2 linked regions of the Canis lupus familiaris genome follow. The protein of the gene in region 1 purifies or fractionates together with the protein of each later gene. This does not show direct contact. Links are inferred from orthologs where the notes say so. Each region holds a gene or a part of one and is shown on either strand. Other genes may lie near its edges.

Region 1 (4,542 bases):
GACACCTTAGCATGGTTGATTGGTAAAGGAGTTATCCAGCCATGTATGTGAATGTCCCTATGTCAGAAATCCCAAACTCCATTTGTTCAAATGCGGTGTGATCTCTGAGAAGGGTAACAGTGAGAATGGTGGCGAGGTGGTTAGGTTTTGGGAAATGAACAGAGTTAGCAGAGACAAGGTGCACAGAGACAGTGACTAGCACCAGAAAGGTTTTTGTAGCAAAGAGAAGCAAAGTGAGACATAGTAGCTTAGCTTTTAGGGAAATCATAGCTGGGATGGAGACACATTTCTCATGCCACCTGGAAATAAAGCATTGAAAGTTTGGAGTAGAGGGCCCAGTGTTGGTGGACCTGACATGGATCCCCGCGAGGGAACTCACCACGACTTGTTTGTTGGTCGTTGCTAATATTACAAATAGCTAGTCATAACAGAGGTTTCTGAACTTTTAGAAGGTTTCTGTCAAAAAGAGTAGACTGTGACAAAGTAAATTTATTATTATTTTTTGTTATGATAAATTCTGGTTCACGGTATGCTGTCTGTAAAATTATTTCTGACTAAAGCCAAATTTGTATGATTTGATTATCCATCTTAGCCTACAAATTCAGCACTCTGAATTTTGATTCTTTTAAAAAATAAATCCATCATCAGAATAGAAGATTTAGTCTTGTCTCTCAGCACAAAGCTGTGCCCCAAAAGACCACCTGAGCAAATGCATTCATCTCTGATAATTTATTTGGAATAGAATGTTTAATTTGCTAAGTTCTAGTGCAATCACTGAGTCAGCAACCAAGCTCCGGACTGTGAAAGTAATTATTATTTAGTAAATTTTTAAGCAGGCCTTAAGATGCATCAGCCAATTCTGTTCCTAGTTAGGCTAGATTAGTTAGTTTCTAGATTGTTTTGTTTTCCCCATTAAAATTATTGTAGGAAAAAAAATTACTTGAGCAAGATTTGACATATACTGTATTTCATTGCATCTAAGATGTCATTGTTTATAAGACATACCATTACTTTATATACTTCTTGGAAATAAAAATGCTGCTAATTAGAATGCTATATGCTATTAGTTGTAAGATAACAGAGATATTTAAAAAGTTCATCCTAGAATCAGGGAAATACGGTAGTGCATTCTTCTTTTGAGGTAGGTGTTAGGCTTTTTCTCTTTTTCTGGCTGCGAAATTTCATAAGCAAAACATAGTTAGAATTTTTTTTTTTCTGTAGAGGACTTTCAGAGCATAACTTTCCACCGTGAAGACAAGCAAGCTGCCTAAGCCCCATGTTTTATCTGCAGACTGGTCGAAGGCGTCCATGAGAGCGCTGGCCACCAGGGGGACGCAGACGCTGAGGGCCACCTGCTGACCTACAGGGCTCCATGCTCCTGTGAAGGGTTTTGATTCTCTTTGAGGTGCTGTATTGTCATGCTTGAGCTGCTGTATGAAGATGGTGCAAAGGTGTGGTTGTACGTAATTGTCAGTGTAGAACCAGCATCTCACCACGCCGAAGCCCTGCGTGCACAGGCACGGGCCAATAGGTTTCCTGGTCTGGGGTCCCACTTAGTGAGAAAACCAACCCAAATCTAGAGCCGTGCACAAAACTACCTCCCCCGAGAAAGGCTAGTCCCTTTCCTTCCCTGTCCACCTCACTATGAACATAGTACAAAATAGCATATTCTTGTCAAATCTGCTGAGAAGCAGCCCTGTGTTCGAACTGAAGTACGACCACTCATGTGAACTGTACCGCATGTCCACATACTCGACATTCCCCGCAGGCGTCCCCGTGTCCGAGAGGAGCCTGGCCCGTGCCGGCTTCTACTACACGGGCGCCAAGGACAGGGTCCGGTGCTTCTGCTGCGGCCTGATGCTAGACAACTGGAAGGCTGGGGACAGCCCCACGGGCAAGCACAGAAACCTGTACCCGAGCTGCAGCTTTATCCAGAATCTCAGTGCTGTCAGCACGGTGGGGGCTGCCTCTCAGCCCCCTGCCCCTTTGTCGGAGGCCAGGTCCACACATGCACAATCCCCTGGCCTGGAGCGCAGCAGCTATTTCAGCGCATCCTACTCCAGCTTCCCTGTGGACCCTGTCGACTTCAGACCCAGTCCAGCCATGTCCCCCTGGAGGGCAGGCCCCTCCTGCGTCACCATGAAGAGCGAGGAGGACAGACTGTGCACCTTCCAGGGCTGGCCCCTGGCCTTCCCACTGCCGTCGGCCCTGGCCAGAGCCGGCTTTTACTATGTGGGGCCCGGGGACAGGGTGGCCTGCTTTGCCTGTGGTGGGAAGCTCAGCAACTGGGAGCCGGATGATGATGCTTTGTCGGAACACCTGAGACACTTCCCCGACTGCCCATTTGTGGAAGGTCAGCTTCAAGCCACTGTGAGATATACAGCCTCCAACTTGAGCATGCAAACCCTCGCGGCCCGCTCCAGAACCTTCTGTAACTGGCCACCCCGAGCTCCTGTTCACCCTGAGCAGCTTGCTAGTGCTGGTTTTTATTACATGGGTAAGACACTTCCTCTGTTGTCAGCCTTCATCTCACACATTTTCAATGAGCATATTATATGTATTCATCAGTTTGGTCCACAATTAATTGTAGGTCACAGTGATGATGTCAAGTGCTTCTGCTGTGACGGTGGACTGCGGTGTTGGGAGTCTGGAGACGACCCGTGGGTGGAGCACGCCAAGTGGTTTCCCAGGTTGTTGCTTTGGCACTCTCTTTGCAAGTGTTTGCTGTTATCATCACATAGGTTATATGTGTTCCCCTTAGAATAAGCTGTTGCTCTACTCTGTTTCAAAGATGCACTTGTGAATAAACTTAGGATGGATCACTTAGAAAAATCACTGAACTATTTCGATGGAAGATAGAGGTGTAGGTTTTTTTCTGTATAATGAAAAAATAGATATCTATTTTAAAATGATATATGTTCATCATAGGACAAAAATCACATACTGGAGAAAAGTACAGAGAAAAAAATGTGAACATCCAGAAATCTACCTAAAGAGGACCAGTTAGCATTTTAATGTCTATCCCTGCAGACATCTCTTCATGAATATGTACACATACAGATAAATGTAGATAGGAGTACATGAATTAGATATTATTATATATACTGTTTTGAAACTTTTTTTCAGCCATTCTTATGTTTTGGACTTATTTCCATTTATTCAACATTTAATATTAATTGCTTGTCTTTGGCCAGGGACTGTTCTGATGGTTAAAACACTCAGTTGAACAAAACCAAAATCCTTGGTCTCATAGGTGAATTTAATAGCAAGAGAGGCATACACTTAATTAAAAACTTAATAAATGAGTTACATGGCATGTCAGGAGATAGCAAGTGCTATGGGTAGACAGGAAAAGCAGAGCTGGATACAAAGATTCAGAAGCACCAGGCAGGCCGCAATATTCAATATGATGGTCGGGGTAAATCCAGACCCACCTCATCTGTTTGATCACTACAGAGCATTTTATTGTCAATTCTTACACTTTTGATTGTTCTTTACTTATTTACATTCTCCTTTTTAAAATTGAAATCAGGTAGCTTATGATTATATTTTTGCATGGTCAAAACTTTTGGTGTTTTTAATGTTGCTTACTAAACTCAGTATCCTGATGTATTTTCCTAACGTAAATTGTTAGTATCATACTCTATTTATAGCACCTTTACGTGCCCCAAATATTTCAGATTTCAAAACTCACAAAGATTAGGAAGAACCCCTTACACAGATGTTTTTGAACAGTGCCGCTGGCCTTCCGTGGTGCTGATTTTGTGAATATATACAAAGAAGGGTGAGTTTGCTTTTGGTAGTGTGAGGGGTTCATTTTGTGCTTGAGGTCAACTGTGATGTGTATTATCCAGGAATTGCCAGCTTGTGAAGACCTGACCTATTAGGAAATATGTTCACCTTCGTCATTACTTCTCTTGTCCCTCTTTGTATATTGTTAACTTTTAAACCTACAAACCTTATGAGTGAACAGTGTCATTTCTTAGAGAGCTTTCTACCTATTTCCTCAGCTCAATGTTCAGAGCATCTATATCAGTCTTCAAACTTTTGAAGAGGGCAGCTGGGAGCTCTCAGTGGAGGCAGCCTACCTTGCCGCCAGGAGGACTGAGCATCTCATGACCCTTGTAGCTTCGGCTACAGCAGAACAGTCCATGCAGGCTCTCTTGCTTATGGCATCTCGCCTTTACTGTAGTATGTGAAATGAATGTTCACACAAAATATTTAACAGGCTACAGATGGTGGGATTTAAATTAACCCCCCAAACTTAATTTTGTTTACGTTTTAGGTGTGAGTACTTGATACGCATCAAAGGACAAGAGTTCATCAGTCAGATTCAAGCCAGTTACCCTCATCTACTTGAACAAGTAGGGATGGTTCTTTTTTTTTTTAGATCATTGGTTAACAACAGATAAATTATTTTCTGATAATTACAGAGAGTAGTACACCAATTTAGTGAAAAGATAAGAGTTGTTTTAAAAATATGTTTCATTTTTAAAAATACCCAACATGGTCTTAGAACTATTCTTTGGATAAAAACAGATT
Region 2 (4,251 bases), on another chromosome or scaffold:
TTCCCCCTGATCCAAATCACCATCAGCTCTTAACTATATTAATTCCATGAATTAATATAGTTTCCCTCTTCTCACTTTTGCTCCCTTCCGTCCATACAATAGGCAAAGGGATTAAAAATATTAACATAGTTCTTCAGCAGACCCCTACTACACTTGAGAAAAATCCTAATACTTTATTACCATCTGTAAAATCCTCCATGATCTGGCTCTAGGCCAACCTTCCTAACTTCTCAGAGCACCCTCTGCCTGTTTCCAATTTCCCCAAGTCACCAAGGTCTTGCCTGTTTTAGTTCCTTTACAAACCTTACTCTGCCTAGAGGATTATTGCCCCAGTTCTGCTATATTCTTCAGCAACCACTTTAAATGTAACCTTCCCTGACCGTCCTATGTCAAGTTGATTCCCCCTGCTACTGTCTCAATACCTGTTTGTCTCCTTCATAGTACTTAGCATAATTTGTAAGCATATATTTGTCTTCAACCTTAATGACCTATATGTTTGAAGCAGGCAAAAACCACATTTGTTTTGTTCAACTCTGTATATCCTGCACTTAGCAGAGTGTCAAGTAGATAGTGTTCTAGATGAATGCAAAATTCATTGCACTTATTCTGTAATTTGCAATTATTAATTTATGTCTGTTTCCCTCCTTCCAGGAAATTAAGCTCTTTTCAAACTGGGATTGCGTCTTAATTTCTAATTTTCGAATTGTTAGAACCATGCATACCTCACAGCAGCATGTAATCCAAAAGATGAGGTAAACAAGTTGATGGGGGCAGGGGGAAGGGAGGAGCATAATGAAAGAGTGGGACTTTCCAGAAGGCTGGGGTGGTGGCATACTATCCATCAAGACAGAGAATATAGCAAGCAGCTTTGGGGAAGGGATGATAAAAAGTTCAATTTCTGACAAGATGAGGAGTGTACAGAACATAAAAGTAAATTTCCAGTAGATATTTGGAAACAAGCATCTAGAGTTGACAAAGAAGGAAGTGCAAATATTTGTATGATAATTTTAAGACTGAGGTCATCAACCATTTTGAAAATAGCATGAAAAAAATCTCTAAGAAAAAAAATGTGCACATACATTTTTTTCATAGACCTCCTGAGACCCCTTCATGATTCCCCAAGATTATGAATTGCTGAGATAGCTGTAAATTGAAATCATGGAGATGGATAGTATCAATGAACTGACAGGGAAAAAAAGTGAATAAAGACCTGAAGACTGGGGATCCCTGGATGACTCAATGGTTTAGTGCCTGCCTTTGCACAGGGCGTGGTCCTGGAGACCTGGGATCCAGTCCCACATCGGGCTCCCTGCATGGAGCCTGCTTCTCCCTCTGCCTGTGTCTCTGCCTGCCTCTCTCTCTCTGTGTCTCTCATGAATAAATGAAAAAATATATAAAAAAAAAGAGAAAAAATAAATAAATAAATAAATAAAAAAGAGACCTGGAAGACACTCTTCACAACTGTGTTTGTGTACAGGTTTTATATTTATGCCCAACTGTAACCTCTCACAGCACTGCTGTAAAGATTAAATGGGAACATTGCAAATTATGTGACAAAGATTTTGGAACACCACAGGCTTAGCTCTTGAAGTGCATGGTTCCACTGGCACCAATCTTATATAAGACAACACTCATTTATTCTGTGGTAGTTATCAATGTCCCGGTTTTATCTCGACTAGAATATAAAGCAGAGGCCAGATTATCTTTTTTTTTTTTGTATCTTTCCAGGCCCAAGGACAGTGCCTTCCATATACTAAGCGCTCCATCTGTATCGCTGAATGAGCAAACTAAGGCACAAATCCCTGTCATATCCAGTTTCCTTCTGTTAATGAGTCATTCCAATTGTCATTATGTAATTATGAGTGCAGTGTAATAAACCTTTCAAGGGAGAAAAGGGGGTAAGCATCTAAGGTAGATGAACATCTAAAAAAGCTGCTGTCTTGTCCAGTTCACAAATATAATTCTGTATTAAGTGCTGCAGAACTCATTTTCTGTTGGGTTTCTGGTTTTAATTCGAAATTACACGAAGTATTTTGGGGGTACTCCTACAGGTCTCACGTGGCAAAACAAGTAATTAAAAGCAAAAGAAACGAGATACCTCAACAAATAAGTACTAAGATTTGTGCAGTTCTGCAGCATCCAAGCAAAAGGGCATAATTTAGGTACTGAATATTTTCAGCATTTACCTGTAAATTAATTTTCGGCTACACCCACCCCCCAATTTAAATATGTGGGCGTTTGCTTACTAGGGGAATTCCAGGTTGTGCTTTCAGCTGTTGAGCTTCCCCCAACCCCCCTTTATAAGAGAGTTTCACATATTTGCTCCACTGCTTGGAGCCTTTCTCGGGTCCAGCTGTCGCTCCAGGTTGGGCCAGCAGCCTAGGGAGTGTGACTCAAGGCGGAACCTGGGCAGTCGACTCCCGACGACGCGGCCCCAAAGCGCAGGGGTGGGGGGTAGAGATCCCCGGGGAGGAGTGGAGAGTCGGCAAGAAGCTGAGTGCGGTGAAACGCTCCACTGGACAGGGTTTCAGAACCCAGCGACCTAAACGTGGATTAACAGGTCACGAGGGGTCGCTTCCACCGAGGTCCCTCGGGCGCCGTCGTGCAGCAGCGCCCGGACCTGGAGCCCCTCGGACCCGCAGGCTCCTGCTCCTCTCCGGCTCGGACTCCCACTCCGCGTTTCCGCTCTCCTCGCCCGCCCGCCCGGCCGGGCCTGCCCCTGCCCACCCGCGACCCCCGGCCCTCGGCGGCGCCCGGGCAAGGCTGGCTACTCACGTCCTTCTTCACTTCGGTCAGGTCCTCCTCGGTGAGGGACGGCGCAGCGGGCTCCATGGCGGAGGAGCGGGGTAGCGCCTCTTCCGGGTCCGGGAGCTGCGGCGGCACCGCCCGGCCAGGCAGGGGACTCGGGCCTCCGGGTGAAGCGGCGACAAGGGCAGGCGGAGCGGGTCGAGAGGAAGAGGGCTGCCGCTTCCAAAACAGAGGCTCACGGACGAGCCCGTAGAGCTTCCGGCTCCGCCTCTGGGGCCGAGGGCGCCGCAGACCTGGGCGTCCCCCAGCGGGCTCCGCGCTGCGCTCCTTCCTCTCCCGGAGGCGCCGGCGCAGGCCCCGCCCCCCGACGAGGCGGGGCTGGCCGTGGGGCCCGCCCCCTCCCAGCGGGAGCCAATCGCTGCCGGCCCGGGGCCCGAGCCTGGCCCCGCCCCCGGCCCCGCCCACAGCCCCCGCGCGTCCTTTGCCGGGAGCGTTTCCGTGGGTGGGGCCCGAGGCTCCTCCCGCCGCAGGCCCCGCCTTTGCGGACCGCTCGCCGGCGGAGGCGGGTCTCTGCCGGACCGTCCCCCCCGGGCTCCTCCCCTTTCCCCAGACCCCGCCCCGCAGCTTCCGGCCGCTGCCTTAACCTACTGAAGCTGTGGGGTTAGATACCCGCCTGCTCGGACGCGGCCCGCGGGCAGCTCCGCTGCAATAGTCAAGACTTTTTTTTTTTTGTCAAGACATTTTTGAAAGAGAAAAACCGCCTATAATCCTTTCATTTTAGCACTCGATTTAACGTCAGCATGCTTTTTGGTCACTTTTTTATGATCCTGTTTCCTTATTTGTTCCATCTGTGTGATGAAGGGATGTCTACCTTACATCCCTTATGGGCTGCTGTGAGAATTAAATGATACTATATATGTAAGGTTCTCAGAGGTACTTGGCATACAGTATGAACTCCGTTTATGATGATCTTTTACTACCCAAACACTTATTGAGTCCTTACTAATATGTCTAGTCATCTTATCTTAGAAGAATTCTATTTTTATGGGGGAGACTGATAAGCAGACAACTACGCCCAGAATGGTATCTAACTACTAATGGAAGTGTATACAGAACAACATGAATAATGAAGAATGGGGACACCTGGGTGGCTCAGTGGTTGAGCATCTGCCTTTGGCTCAGGTGGTGATCCTGGGGTCCTGGGATCCAGTCCAGGATCGGGCTTCCCACAAGGAGCCTGCTTCTGTCTCTGCTTCTCTCTGTGTGTCTCTCATGAATAACTAAATAAAATATTTTTTTTTAAAAAAAGAATGAATAATGTGGATGAGAAGTTCAAAACACAAGACAATGGGCCCAAGACAATGGTTTGGACAACATGCTGAATAAACTCCGTGGTATTTGAAGCAGTGAGGGTAGACAGGACAAGAGGTAGATAGACAAAGACAAACTTGGGAAGTCCAACATTTTTTGAAAGTAAACTCTACACCCAACATGAGGCTTGAA

The links.
Region 2: the proteins of BIRC3 (region 1) and BCL10 purify together in Homo sapiens (affinity purification with western blotting; 5 studies listed by BioGRID and IntAct, with this or other methods). This does not show direct contact. The link is inferred for Canis lupus familiaris from reciprocal best matches to the Homo sapiens genes BIRC3 and BCL10.

The regions. Positions count from the first base shown.
Region 1 is NC_049226.1:29,475,953-29,480,494, reverse strand, and holds the start of BIRC3 (baculoviral IAP repeat-containing protein 3), read left to right. Parts: upstream 1-1,644; coding exon 1,645-2,497; intron 2,498-2,590; coding exon 2,591-2,690; intron 2,691-4,285; coding exon 4,286-4,364; intron 4,365-4,542. UniProt on the Homo sapiens protein: Multi-functional protein which regulates not only caspases and apoptosis, but also modulates inflammatory signaling and immunity, mitogenic kinase signaling and cell proliferation, as well as cell invasion and metastasis.
Region 2 is NC_049227.1:63,256,890-63,261,140, reverse strand, and holds the start of BCL10 (B-cell lymphoma/leukemia 10), read right to left. Parts: upstream 3,100-4,251; 5' UTR 2,833-3,099; coding exon 2,776-2,832; intron 1-2,775. UniProt on the Homo sapiens protein: Plays a key role in both adaptive and innate immune signaling by bridging CARD domain-containing proteins to immune activation.